Sus scrofa: one gene and its partners. The protein of the gene in region 3 binds, or shares a complex with, the protein of the main gene of each other region. Links are inferred from orthologs where the notes say so. Each region holds a gene or a part of one and is shown on either strand. Other genes may lie near its edges.

The links. The genes of interacting proteins can lie anywhere in the genome.
Region 1: OSGEP (region 3) and TPRKB share a complex: the UniProt entries of both Homo sapiens proteins name them as parts of the EKC/KEOPS complex. The link is inferred for Sus scrofa from reciprocal best matches to the Homo sapiens genes OSGEP and TPRKB.
Region 2: OSGEP (region 3) and GON7 share a complex: the UniProt entries of both Homo sapiens proteins name them as parts of the EKC/KEOPS complex. The link is inferred for Sus scrofa from reciprocal best matches to the Homo sapiens genes OSGEP and GON7.

What each region holds. Positions count from the first base shown.
Region 1 is NC_010445.4:69,236,987-69,241,863, reverse strand, and holds the start of TPRKB (EKC/KEOPS complex subunit TPRKB), read right to left. Parts: upstream 3,521-4,877; intron 2,897-3,520; exon of another isoform or gene 2,872-2,896; intron 2,772-2,871; exon of another isoform or gene 2,674-2,771; intron 2,216-2,673; coding exon of another isoform or gene 2,196-2,215; coding exon 2,055-2,195; intron 707-2,054; coding exon 584-706; intron 1-583. UniProt on the Homo sapiens protein: Component of the EKC/KEOPS complex that is required for the formation of a threonylcarbamoyl group on adenosine at position 37 (t(6)A37) in tRNAs that read codons beginning with adenine.
Region 2 is NC_010449.5:114,587,285-114,591,968, forward strand, and holds the start of GON7 (uncharacterized protein C14orf142 homolog), read right to left. Parts: upstream 3,521-4,684; 5' UTR 3,468-3,520; coding exon 3,260-3,467; intron 1-3,259. Other genes in the region: putative E3 ubiquitin-protein ligase UBR7, read left to right, coding at 3,722-3,871. UniProt on the Homo sapiens protein: Component of the EKC/KEOPS complex that is required for the formation of a threonylcarbamoyl group on adenosine at position 37 (t(6)A37) in tRNAs that read codons beginning with adenine.
Region 3 is NC_010449.5:78,459,520-78,463,504, forward strand, and holds the end of OSGEP (probable tRNA N6-adenosine threonylcarbamoyltransferase), read left to right. Parts: intron 1-252; coding exon 253-348; intron 349-484; coding exon 485-534; intron 535-680; coding exon 681-759; intron 760-1,620; coding exon 1,621-1,686; intron 1,687-1,799; coding exon 1,800-1,890; intron 1,891-2,119; coding exon 2,120-2,195; intron 2,196-2,290; coding exon 2,291-2,389; intron 2,390-2,542; coding exon 2,543-2,582; 3' UTR 2,583-2,741; downstream 2,742-3,985. UniProt on the Homo sapiens protein: Component of the EKC/KEOPS complex that is required for the formation of a threonylcarbamoyl group on adenosine at position 37 (t(6)A37) in tRNAs that read codons beginning with adenine.

The sequences.
Region 1 (4,877 bases), on a different chromosome or scaffold from region 3:
CTTGATGTCAGCACTTGCTTGTTTTAACAGTAGTAGGAACACTAAAACTTCTTCATCAGCAAAATTACAGTGTTGTTTTTTTAATGGCTCCAGGTGGAATGTTTTTAACTCAATAACTTTGATTACTAGCAGTATCTGAAACCACAAACTGTTACATGCAGTGGGTGTGTGAGAGAGCATGTGTTAAGGGCTGTTTTAGGTACCAGGCAGGCTTCTGGTATATGGAAGAGACATGGATGCTATCCTCAAAGAGTTTACAGGCAGAATGAAAGATACGCATGACAACACTCAGGCATCCATGGCTAATCATTCAGATATCATTTAGTGATCTTCCTGACTCTACGTGGTAAGAAGGACAAATTAAAACTATCCTCTTAATTTAGCTAAATTTTTGTTTACACACATGTGAAGCGTCTCCAAAGCTTATTTGCCTAGTAAGAGAGCAGTGCTAAACCCCAACTCTGTCCAGAGCTGTCTTCACTATTGTTTTGGTTTAGTATTAACAGGCTCCAACCCAACACCAAGTAACACACAGGCTATCATGACAAGGTCAACAATTATAAAGTAAATAAATATTAATTACATTATTATTTGGGGAAAGATTGAAAATAATTTCCGTAGATAGAGTTCTTGTCTTCATTTTCCCCAGTTTGTAGAGGTGAACTGCTTTGTTTGCTGCCACAAGTATCTGAAATGGATCGACAATCTACCAAAGAGAACAAAAAATATTATACACAGAGAATCTGGAGTACGCTGAAGACATGTGCCCCATAGCGTGCTATCTCCAGGGTCAGTGTTTTACTTCATCCCAGTTCCTATGGACTACATTTTTAAATTTTTTCATAATCTCAAGGCCTGAGTGTTCAGTAAAAAAAAAAAAAGAAAAAAGAATTTTAAAACTGCAAGCAAGAGTTCCCGTCGTGGCTCAGTGGTTAACAAATCCGACTAGGAACCATGAGGTTGTGGGTTCAATCCCTGGCCTTGCTCAGTGGGTTAAGGATCCGGTGTTGCCATGAGCTGTGGCGTAGGCTGGCGGCTACAGCTCCGATTAGACCCCTAGCCTGGGAAGCTCCACATGCCGCGGGTGCGGCCCTAAAAGGACAAAAGGAAGGAAAAAAAAAAAAAAGTAAAACTGTAAGCAACTTAGATAAATAGTAAAAAGCTGGGTTTTTTTGTTTTTTCATTTTAGGGCCACACCTGAGACATATGGAGGTTCCCAGGCTGGTGGTGGAATCTGAGCTGCAGTTGCCGGCCTACACCCCAGCCACCGCAATGCAGGGCATGAGCGGCATCTACAACTTACGCTGCAGCTTGAGACAACACCGGATCCTTAACCCACTGAGCCACCACAGGAATTCCAATAGTAAAAAGTTTTAAAACGACATTTACCGAGGGGTATTATTATGGGAAAAACCATATGGTCAACATTTTGCCTTCGTTTTCCACAGCTGTCAGTGATATCCATGTTATATTCACATGTAATGGATGAGGAGACCACGGCAAAGAACAGGTCTGAATCCCAGCTGTCCTCAGTTACCACGAGGGAACCGGAGCAAATGCCTTAGCATTTCATCTAGAGGTGCAGACCATCCTAGGACGTCACGGATGGGTTGTCGTGAAGACTGAGTCAGCTGTGTGTGTAAACAACTTGCAACAATGCCAGGAGCCAAATACACCTTTATATAAAGGTCAGCTACCACTTGCTCAAAGCCATAATAAATGGCATATCTGGGATTTGAGTCACAGTGATTCTACAGTGTGTTCCCTTAACCACTATGCAGTGCCTCCTTCCCAGACTTTCTCTTTCAGAGGAGAAGACGATCCCAGACAGCTGCGATCACATCAGGGCTGGACCGCCTTTGACAGCTCCTAGGGCGGGGTGCTCTGGCTTCTAGTCACTGCTAATTCAAGGTCGGCCAAATCTGATTCCACTCCACAGCTTGGACAAGGCCTTTTTACCTGAAGATAACAGGTTTGGGCTGACCTGTAACAGCAAGAAATATTTCATATTCTTAAACTCCCTGCAGAGTGCACTCCTTCCCACAAGTACTTACCACTGTAGGGTTGATTAATGAGCCGTCAATGCCACCTTCCATGGCCTTTTTTCTCAAGGCTCCAGCATTTTTCACATCTTTAAATAACAGAAGGGTCACCCTGTACTCAGGAAACAGGTCCAGTTGCTCTGTTAACTGCATTTCATAGATAAGACAGGATTCTGTTGCACAAGACCAAAAGACCAAAAGTTAACACCGTAGGTCACTAACAAAAAAATATCTTTACTTAACGAGATATTTTTTTGCTTTTTAGGGCTGTGCCTGTGGCATATGGAAGTTGCCCAGCTGGGGGTTGAAATCAGAGCTGCAGCTGCTTGCATATACCCCAGCCACAGCCACAACCACAGCCAGGCCAGATCTGAGCCGTATCTGTGACCTGCACCACGGCTCACGGCAACACCAGATACTTAACCCACTGAGCAAGGCCAGGGATCCAACCCGAGTCCTCATGGATACTAGTCACGTTTGTTACCGCCAAGCCACACTGGGAACTCCCTAACAAAGTAACTTTAATAAGAACATATAAAAGTGTTAAAATAGAAAAATCTATCCCGAAAACACATCTGGCATTCTCACAGTATACTGTCTTCCTAAACCTGCTGTTTCTAGCTTCCTTTACCATTCCTGGCGAAGGATCAAGGTTGCCACCTGATCCCCTGCTTGTGCAGTAAGTCCGGCTCTGATCCGTGGATGAGATGCCGTTTCCCCAATAGACAACTAGGTGCAGATTACCAAAAATGTTTTAGATCACAGGTTACTTTTAGCATTAATGAAACCTCACTCCAACTTCTTAGCCTTTTTAGTTTTCTTATCTCACCATTTGATTTATGTTTTAGCAGCACCTAGACACAAATACGAAAGAAGAAAATAATCTTACAGAGGAAAAGTATGACATGACTCAGAGAACTCATTTCACACATGGGGATTTAAGCAGGGAGGGCACAATGCTTTAATAATACTGGCCCTTTATAGACATAAATTGAACAAGAAAAGGACGGGGTATATACAAAGACATAAGAGAAACATGACAAATAACTACAAAGACATATCCTTGCACAGAAAAACAAAGCATTGCAAAAATTTGATCTTTAAAACAATTTCAATCAGTCCTAATGAGATATTTGGGTGAGGCAATTTGATAGGTTCATTTTATCCTTTTACCTAGGAGGTTCCATTTACAGCATTTTTCTCAAAGAATAAACTGGCAATCTGAAGGTTTATGTAACAAGAGGTCCTTATCATTATCCTAACAGTAAAAGCTGAAAAGAACTAGTAACAGGATTTGTTTTCACTAAACAACCACTAAAAACTGTAGTCTTGAAGAGTACTTAAGGATGTATAAAAACAGCAATAAATAACACTAAAACATTTGATGTGGAAATCAAAACATAAAATTGTGGGTTTTTTAAAAAAGGTACACATACACACACACACAAAATTGAAAGAAAAATACAACGAAAAATTACCTTTGACCTGCTGGAATTTCATCTGACTTTTTTCTTATTGTAACAAAAGAAAAAAAGAACATTTGTGAATAACGTCCTGGCACACAGCAGTTCAGTCATAATCAAGGTCCAATGGAAAAAAAAATACAGAAAGATAAAATGTACACCCAATTATAAAAGAAGATGCACCCAGAAAACAAAAACACGAAGTACACCAAAATATGGCCATCTTGGGCAGTAGAATTGAAGGCAATTTCTAAGGTCTCCTATAAATATTTTTCTATGTGCTGAATTTTCTACAATGAGTACTCAAAATATATAATGAGTACATACAACCAGAGAGAAAAAAAATGTGGTTTTTGTTTTTACATGAGGGGAAAAAGGACCTCTAGCAAACGTCAGAATAGTTTGCTTTTCTTTTACATAATTCATTCAGTCCAGAAACTTCGAGTCACTGCTGGATACTGACCTCTCACTCAAATCCCATATCTAATCCAAAAGTCTTGTCAATTTAAATTTTATTTTTCACCCTGCCCACAGCACGTGGAAGTTCCAGGGGCCAGTAATCAAACCCGGGCCACAGCAGGGACCCAAACCGCTGCAGTGACAACGCCAGATCCTTAACCCACTGCACCACAGGAGAACTCCTTGTCAATTTTTAATATCTTGACGGATACAATTCTCTCCATACCCACTGCCACCACAGTGGGCCACCAACTCACATCCACAGTTTGGCCTCCTAGAAGTGCTCAGCTCACAGTTCCTGCCCTCCTATCATGCAGCCGCCACCTGGGAGTCAAAACCATCTTTTCACAAACAAGAACAAAATAATGCCACTTGCAGCAACATGGATGGAACTAGAGACTCTCATGCTAAGTGAAGTAAGTCAGAAAGAGAAAGACAAATACCCTATCACTTATATCTGGAATCTAATATAGGGCACAAATGAACCTATCTACAGAAAAGAAACAAACTCAGGGACACGGAGAACAGACTTGTGCTTGCCAAGACGGAGGGGGAGGGAGGGAGATGGACTGGGAGTTTGGGGTTAGCAGATGCAAACTACTGCATTTGGAATGGATAAGCAATGGGATTTTGCTGTGTAGCCCATGAAACTATATATGATCACTTGTGATGGAACATGATGGAGAATAATGTGAAAAAAAGAATGTATGTATGCATAACTGGCTCACTTTGTGAGGCAGAAATAGACAGAACACGGTAAATCAACTATAATTTAAAAACTATTATCGGAGTTCCCGTGGAGGCACAGTGATTAACGAATCCAACTAGGAACCATGAGCTTGCGGGTTCGATCCTTGGCCTTGCTCAGTAGGTTAAGGATCCGGCATTGCCGTGAGCTGTGGTGTAGATCACA
Region 2 (4,684 bases), about 36 Mb from region 3:
CATGTCTGCGGCCTACGCCACAGCTTGAGGCAACGCCAAATCCTTAAACCCACTGAGGGAGGCTGGAGATCGAACCCCCATCCTCATGGATATTAGTCGGGTTTGTTACCACTAAGCCACAACGGGAACGCCTAAAATTCACAGCGGGAGTTCCTGCTGTGGTACAGTGAATTAAGGATCCGAATATAGCAGCTCGTGTCGCTGCAGAAGCGCGTACAGTGGGCTACAGATCTGGCATTGCCGTAGCTGCCGTGTGTGTTGTAGCTGCAGCTCAGATTCTATCCCCAGCCTGGGAACTTTCATATGCCACAGGTGGCCCCCCCCCCCCAAAAAAAGTGTAGTTTACTGATTTCGATATTCACTAGGCTGTCCAACCCTCACCACTAATTCTAGAACACTTTTCATCAACCCCAAAGAAATCTTACACCAATTAGCAGTCATTTCCCATTCCCCTTAGCCTTTGGCAGCCACTAACCTACTGTAATCATCTCCCATCTCTTAGATTTGCCTATTCTTTTTTTTTTTTTTTTTTTTTTTTTTTTTTTTTTTTTTTTTTTTTTTTTTTTGTCTTTTGTCTTTTTTGTTGTTGTTGTTTTTGTTGTTGCTATTTCTTGGGCCGCTCCCGCGGCATATGGAGGTTCCCAGGCTAGGGGTTGAATCGGAGCTGTAGCCGCCGGCCTACGCCAGAGCCACAGCAACGCGGGATCCGAGCCGCGTCTGCAACCTACACCACAGCTCACGGCAACGCCGGATCGTTAACCCACTGATCAAGGGCAGGGATCGAACCCGCAACCTCATGGTTCCTAGTCGGATTCGTTAACCACTGCGCCACGACGGGAACTCCAGATTTGCCTATTCTTAACATTTAATGTAAATGAATCGCAAAATACATGCCTTTTTGTGTCTGTCTGCTTTCACTTACCATGTTTTCAAAGGTCATTCATGAAGTGTAACATTTATCAGTACTTCACTCCTTTTTGTTGCTAAATAATATTCCATTGTATGGATATACATATTGTTTCTCCACTCGAGTAGATGGACATTTGTGTGTTTTTTAAAATTTTTCATCAAAGTATAGTTGATTTACAATGTTCTGACAATATCTGCTGTAATTTGTCTTATTTCCACTTTTTAGTTATTATGAATAATGCTGCTTATGAACATTTGTGCATTTGTTTTTTATGGGAACATGTTTCCAGTTCTCTTGGAGAACTAGGGATGGAATTAAGAATCCCTAGAATTGCTGGATCATATGATAACTTTAACTTCAAACGGCTTTCCAAAGAAGGTACACTATTTTGCATTTCCACCAGCAACACATGAGGGCTCTAATTTCTTCATATCCTAGCTAACATCTGTTAGTGTTCTTTCTGATTACAGCCTTCCTAGTGGACATGACATGGAATCTCATTGTGATTTGATTTGCCTTTCCTTGAAAGCCAATGACGTTGAGCGTCTTTTCATGTGCTTATTTGCCATTTGTATATCTTATTTGGAGAACTGTCTATTCAAGTCTTCTGCACATTTGGTAACTGACTGTCTTTTTTCGTCAACATGAGGATTTTTTTTTCCATTGAAGTACACTGTTAGTTCCAAGTGTACCACACAGTGCCCCGATATTTCTAGACGTTACAAAATGATCACTATTTGCCTTTTTAGTGTTGCATTCTACCACTTTTCTTTCATAATTGTTATTTCTGAAAATTTTGCATTGCTAATTAAGATATTATTCATACACTGGGGGTTCCCAGTGCAGTGCAGCAGAAAAGAATCCGACTAATATCCATGAGAATGTGGGTTTGATCCCTGGCCTCACTCAGTGGGTTGGGAAGCCAGTGTTGCTGTGAGCTGTGGTGTGGGTTGCAGATATGGCTCCGATCCGGAGTTGCTGTAGCGTAGGCTGGCAACTGTAGCTCCATTCTGAGCCCTAGTCTGGGAACCTCCCTATGCTGCAGATGTGGCCGTAAAAAAAAAAAAAAGAAAGAAAGAATTCATCCAAAATAAAGATAAACTCCATTTTTTTTTTTTTTTTTTTTTTTTTTTTGGTCTTTTTAGGGCCGCACCTGAGGCATATGGAGGTTCCTGGGCTAGGTGTTGAATTGGAACTATAGCCACTGGCCTACACCACAGCAATACAGCAATGCCAGATCTGAGTCATGTCTGCAACCTACACCATAGCTCAGAGCAACTCCGGATCCTTAACCCACTGAGGAGGCCAGGGATGTAACCTGCGTCCTCATGAATATCAGTCAGATTCCTTTCCACTGAGCCATGATGAGAACTCCCACTTTTTTTTTTTCAATGGCTCTACCTATACCTGTCCTTATTCCAACGATAAAATTTGCAACTGATTAAAGAGGAACTTTTGGAGTCAAGAAACAGGACTTCACTCTCACGGAAACAATCCATTGTCTGAAGTTTGTGTAATATTCTGAATTGGTTCCTTCACATTATTAGTTTAAGAGCCTGTACAGAGGAGTTAAGTCCTGATTCCAATATTTAATGCTTAGGTTCTTAAGCTTAAGGCAGTCAAAATGTATCTACCTATTCAAGACAAGACTTAAAACAAAAAACCCCCCAAAAACTAAACCAGTTAAATTTCCCGTTTCCACTTTCAAACTGCACCTACAAAACCGGGAAAGGAAAGGAGTCCCTGAGAGTAAACACCTGTTTATCTGAAATCTCTTCCAATCTTAGGAACCCGCTCCTATTCTGCGATGGACCGCAGTCTTCCAAACGTAATTTCACAGCTGGGAGAATTCCTTTTCATCCTTCAACACCCAGCTTAAAAGCCAGACATGCCCACTATTAGGTCTTCCTGGGTTCTCTAGGTTCGAATAGTTATAGGAGGATCCTAGGGTCATCTTTCCACTCTTTAATGAGAGCGTTTACTTGTTTAATCACTCATCAAAATTCCGCAACGACAGGAACTAAGCCGCATTCACCCTCATTCTTTCTTCAGAGCTCAGTCCAATGATTGGCACAGAGCAGCAGGGGTTCGGCCCGCTTTTCTTTGGTTTTGTGTGTGCGTGTATGTGTGTGTGTGTGTGTGTGATATAAATGAAAAGAGTCGTGAAAACAGCCCTGCTAGGTGAGCCCAGGTTAGGCCTAGAGTTGGCGGAAGGTGCTAACAATTTTTAGTAGGAATCCTTCTTCCTCCAGTTTTCTCCAGTCTGCTGTTTTACACGGGCTCCCTGAGATTTTTCCCGGGGCGCCCCTGCCCTCCCTCCAGTCGCTCCAGCACCATCCCAGAGCTCACCGTCCAAGGCCTCTTCTGGAGCCGCCGCCACCCGGTCCTGAGCTTCCCCCTGTACCGGGGAACCGAAGAGCTCGGCCACCAGCTCCTTCATCCGAGCCACGCCCGACAGCAAGCCCTGGAAATGGTCGGCATTGCCTGGCGCCTCACAGGGCACTCGTAGCCGCTGCCGCTGCCCGTCCTGCCCGACATACTCGCCCAACAGCTCCATGGCGACCGCTGAGCTTCAAGAACGCGCCACAGGGATACGCCACCCGGAAGCGGAAACCAGCCAAGCGCGGGCGCAGGCGGGAGAAGGAAGAGGAGTGACTTCCGTTTGTCGGAAGTCGCTCCTCCCCCTTCCTTCTCTCGGCGTCTTTGGGATTGGTTCCAGGCACCCAGGCCCCGCCTCCTACGGCCCCGCCCCTCGCGCCCGCTTTTCCCGCCTCCGCCGGGGCTGAGCGGCGGTCCGGGTGACAGTTGAGGATGGCTGGAGCCGAGGGGACCGCGGGGCGGCAGTCGGAGCTGGAGCCCGTGGTATCGTTGGTCGATGTACTTGAGGAGGACGAGGAGCTGGAGAATGAGGCGTGCGCCGTACTAGGCGGCAGCGACTCCGAGAAGTGCTCCTACTCGCAGGTGGGCGCGCGGCCGGGCCTTACCTCCCCCGGCTCCCCTGGACCTTCTCTTCCCGGACTTACCTTCCCTCTTCCCGCCTGCCGAGGCCGGCACCTCCGTGGTAGTCCGGGGTCACTGTTTGTCATAGGCTTCCTCATCCCAGGCTCAGCCGCCCTTTTACCCTTAGTCTCGTGAGCCCCCTTCCTCTGCTTGTGTCCGGCAGGGCCCCCTTCGTCCCTCGGTTTTCCTCCGACCCCCCAGGATCTCTAGGCTTTGACCCTGGAGCAGCCTTTCCTTCCTCTCCCGTCTCTTCTCGGTGCCCCGGGTGTTTTTCACGAAACCATCCTCGTGTCCTCTCAAATCCAGACATCTTTGTCCCTAATTTTCCCATCCTTAGTATTTATTAGGAACCAGGTGGGAGTCAAAGCAGAGATAAAGGAGAGATCTCTGGATCTGAAAATCTCCCCATGTGGGCTGGGCACTTGGACAGCTGGTCCTCTGCAATTTAGTTTGACAAGTGCTATCTGGTTTTTTGGCGAGAGGAAGCAAGTACCATGTCTCTGTGCAGTCTGCTACCCAGGAGGATAGACCGGAACCCGAACAGCTGGTGGCTCTGGCGAAGGGGTGGGGGTAGGGGAGGAGAGCGAGCACTTGGAAGATGTTGTGAACAAGGCTTTGAGGGGGTGTGATGTAGTGTTGGGTGACTCATCCTATATTCTAGGTACAAAAATGGAGAAAGGTGGGTAGAAGAAAACTAATAAGAGGTGAGAATTGGTAGGAGGAAGGTTCCTTGGCGGGGGGCGTGTGGAGTGGAACGTTGGAGGGTGAGGAGAG
Region 3 (3,985 bases):
GACAGCTTGCTTCTGCCCTGACCTGGACTACCTTCTGTAGGTTAGGAATCTGCTCTGGGAATCTTTGTAGTATATAGGCTTCTCAGATCTAAGAGCTAGAAAAAAGTACCATCAAGGGTTTAGGAAAGTACTTTTTTCCTTTGCTTATTGGAAGCTCTAGTGTCCATGTTGATCCTCTGCTATGTTCTTCCCCAAAGCCAAATACTCCTCTTTACAGACTTGAGGTTTCATGGACATCCTCATCACCCTTAGGTGATTGCATATTCAGAACATCGTTACCGCATCTTTGGGGAAACCATCGATATTGCTGTGGGTAATTGTCTGGATCGTTTTGCTCGAGTCCTGAAGGTGAGCCATTGGAGTTACCGAGAACATAAGATGTGAATGAATTTCTGGGGAGCCAGGGAAGAGGAGGGAGAAAGTAGTAAACTAGCTTCTTACGATTCCTAGATATCTTACTTCCTCCTGTTTTTCCTTGTGCTAGATTTCCAATGACCCAAGTCCAGGCTACAACATTGAACAAATGGCAAAGCGGTAAGGGGAATAAGGTAGAAGGAGGCTGACTGGCGGGGTGTCAGGGATTTCCCTGTTATGTGTATTAACAAGGTTTGGGAGGGCTTTGGAGGGCAAGCAGCCAGCTGACTATAGGCTTAGTGCCTCATATACTCACTCCCACTTAGAGGCAAGAAGCTAGTTGAGCTGCCATACACTGTAAAGGGCATGGACGTCTCATTCTCGGGGATCTTGTCTTTCATTGAGGTGAGTGTGGGAGAGGTGAGGAGATGGTCACTGTGATGCTTTTTAACGAAACATATGTGTTTTGCTCACCATTGTATTTTCTGCATATAGCATAGTACTGACGCATGTTAGATCCTGAATAAATTCAGGTAGCAAATATTTATTGAACATATTCTGTGTGCCAGGCACTGTTTGAGGCAGTGGTGGTACAAGATAAAGCAAAAATCCCTGCTTACTTGGAGCTTGCATTCTTGTGGTGGGGAGATAAACAAAAACAAAAATGAATGAAAGAAAGGGGGAATATAATAGTATAAAAAGGGTCAAGTGGTGACAGGTGCTGTGGAGAGAAAATAACCAAGGTTGGTGGGGGAGTTGCCAGAGCAGACATTCATAATTATTGACTCTAGAAAGAATGTTGCTGGTTTTATAGCTCAGTGCCAGTGAAGGGCAAGGTGTCTTATGGGATGTACTAATAAGTTGAGTTGTGGTGGAACACAGTGATCCTCCAAGTGCACTGTTTTTTTTTGTTGTTGTTGTTGTTGTTGTTGTTTTTAGCATTTTAGGGCCACACCTGTGGCATATGGAAGTTCCCAGGCTAGGGGTCAAATCAGAGCTATAGCTCCTGGCCTGTGCCACAGCCACAGCAACTTGGGATCCAAGCTGTGTCTGCAACCTGCACCATAGCTTACAGCAACAGTGGATCCCCACCCCCCTGAGTGAGGCCAGGGATCGAAGCCAAATCCTCATGGATACTAGTTGGCTTCATTTCCACTGCACCATGATGTACACTAATATGCACTCCCCAAGTGCACTAATTTTTTGCTCCCATGTCATCCCCAAACCAATGTTCATTGTTTTATCTGTTTTCCCCTTTAACTATAGGATGTAGCCCAGCGGATGCTGGCCACAGGCGAGTGTACTCCTGAGGATCTATGCTTCTCCTTGCAGGTAATGGAGTAAAACACTGGGACAGAAAATTGGAGCTGGAGAAGCTCTTTTGTAGTAGACAGAACTAAGCCGAGATCACCTCTGATGTTTCCACCTTGTCTGCCCCCCCCCAGGAAACTGTGTTTGCAATGCTGGTAGAGATCACAGAGCGGGCCATGGCACATTGCGGTTCCCAGGAGGCCCTCATCGTAGGAGGAGTGGGTTGTATGTATCCTTGAACTGTGCTCTTTCCTATTGTGGGGCACGTACATCTTCTTCCTGATATTCTAAATCCTTAAAAGTTTAGAGAAATTACTAGTTCTGTCTCTTCTATGCTTCCCAGCCTTTCCTCCTAGAACCCCTACTTCATTTTCCTAAGTCAGTGCACATGAAGTGTATGGCTAAACTGGAGAAATGGCTGAAACTAGCTAACCCTACCCCTGCCTCTTTGTAGGTAATATTAGGTTACAGGAAATGATGGAAACAATGTGCCAGGAACGCGGAGCCCGGCTTTTTGCCACAGATGAGAGGTAAAGGCTCTTTCCCTTTCTTTCTTTTTTTTCTCCAGTTACTGTGATTTTCCACCCTTAGATCATGAATATCATACCTTTTTTTTCTGTCCCAGATTCTGCATTGACAATGGAGCCATGATAGCCCAGGCTGGCTGGGAGATGTTTCAGGCTGGACATAGGACCCCCCTCAGTGAATCTGGGGTCACACAGAGGTGAGTGGCCCCTTTCAGGAGGTAGACAGGATTGTATGAGAAGCAGGCCAGAGTCATTATTAGCAGGGAAGAGGATTCAGAATCATGAGGTCAGAGAAGAGTATAAGGTGCTAAGGGATAACTGTCCACCAAGTTTTTCCCATTTTTTCACAGGTATCGGACAGATGAAGTAGAAGTGACCTGGAGGGACTGACAAGGTGAACAGGATCAAGTAGATAGCGCCCTAAGTGGAGCCCCAGGGACCCTGGGCCTTAACCTCATCCTGACATAAGACCCTAGCAAGACTGTGGACGCCCCTCTCCCATCATTTGAACCTCAAGATGACTCTATAATAAAAATATTTTTGGTTTTATGTGTTAGTGATCGGCTTGTGTTAAGGAACATAGTTGGCACTGGATAAATTCTTGTTAATGGGGTGGTGAGTAAGGAGGCAGGGATTAGAGAAGCATCCTGGCTGACCGTGCAGGTAGCCTTGGGAGCTGCAGCTCTGGAACCCATGCACTTCCATCATCAGGTTTGAGGGGGTCCCAGGTACACATTCCTCCATGTCACAACCACCAGAACTAATCTCTTCATGCCTTTTCTCTTGTTTTTATGTCAGTCACCAAAGAAGTCGCAAACCACCAAGTCACCTTTCATCTTTTAAACACTAATAACCATTGCTTTCCATTCTCTTTTTTTGTCTCCACCTACCTCTGTCTTAACTCCTGAAATTCTGTTTTAATTTTTTTTTTTTTTTTTTTGGTCTTTTGTCCTTTTAGGGCCACACCCTTGGCATATGGAGATTCCCAGGCTAGGGTTCTAATTGGAGCTCTTGCTGTGGGCCTGTGCCAGAGCCATAGCAATGCCAGATCCAAGCCGTGCCTGCAGCCTACGCCATAGCTCCTGGCAACACCGGATCCTTTAACTCACTGAGCGAGGCCGGGGATGGAACCTGCAACCTCATGGTTCCTAGTTGGATTTGTTTCTACTGCGCCAAGATGGGAACTCCAGTAACTGTCATAAGTCTTGATGATTTGAATATCTAGGTAGATGACCTTTGTAACACTGGTCTCAGTTCCTTATTCCTTCAGTGATCTTGTCCTCCATCCCTATATCAACCCTCATTCCCTTGGTCATGTCTAGACTTGTAGCTTCTCCATATCTCAGTCATCCCACTCTCCTATAATTACTTCCTATTTTTCTAGTTTATTCTATGTGTCTTAATTTCCTTCCTCTAATTCCTGTCACAAGCACTTCACTGCAAACACTTCATCCCCTAGCCTATCTCACTTTTTGTCACAATCGGCTCTTCACCCACTTTATGCCCTGACCCATTAAGCTGAAAGGGCTGGGATAAAACAGCCAGTCCAGGCTGACTTGTCTTACTTTCAGTTCACTACCATGAAAAATAAGTGGGTCCTTATTTATTTATTTATTTGTCTTTTTGCCATTTCAAGGGCTGCTCCCATGGCATATGGACGTTCCCAGGCTAGGGATCTAATCCAAGCTGTAGCCACCAGCCTATGCCAGAGCCACAGTAACTCGGGATCCGAGCTGCGTCTGCGAACTACACCACAGCTCACAGCAATGCCAGATCCTTAACCCACTGAGCAA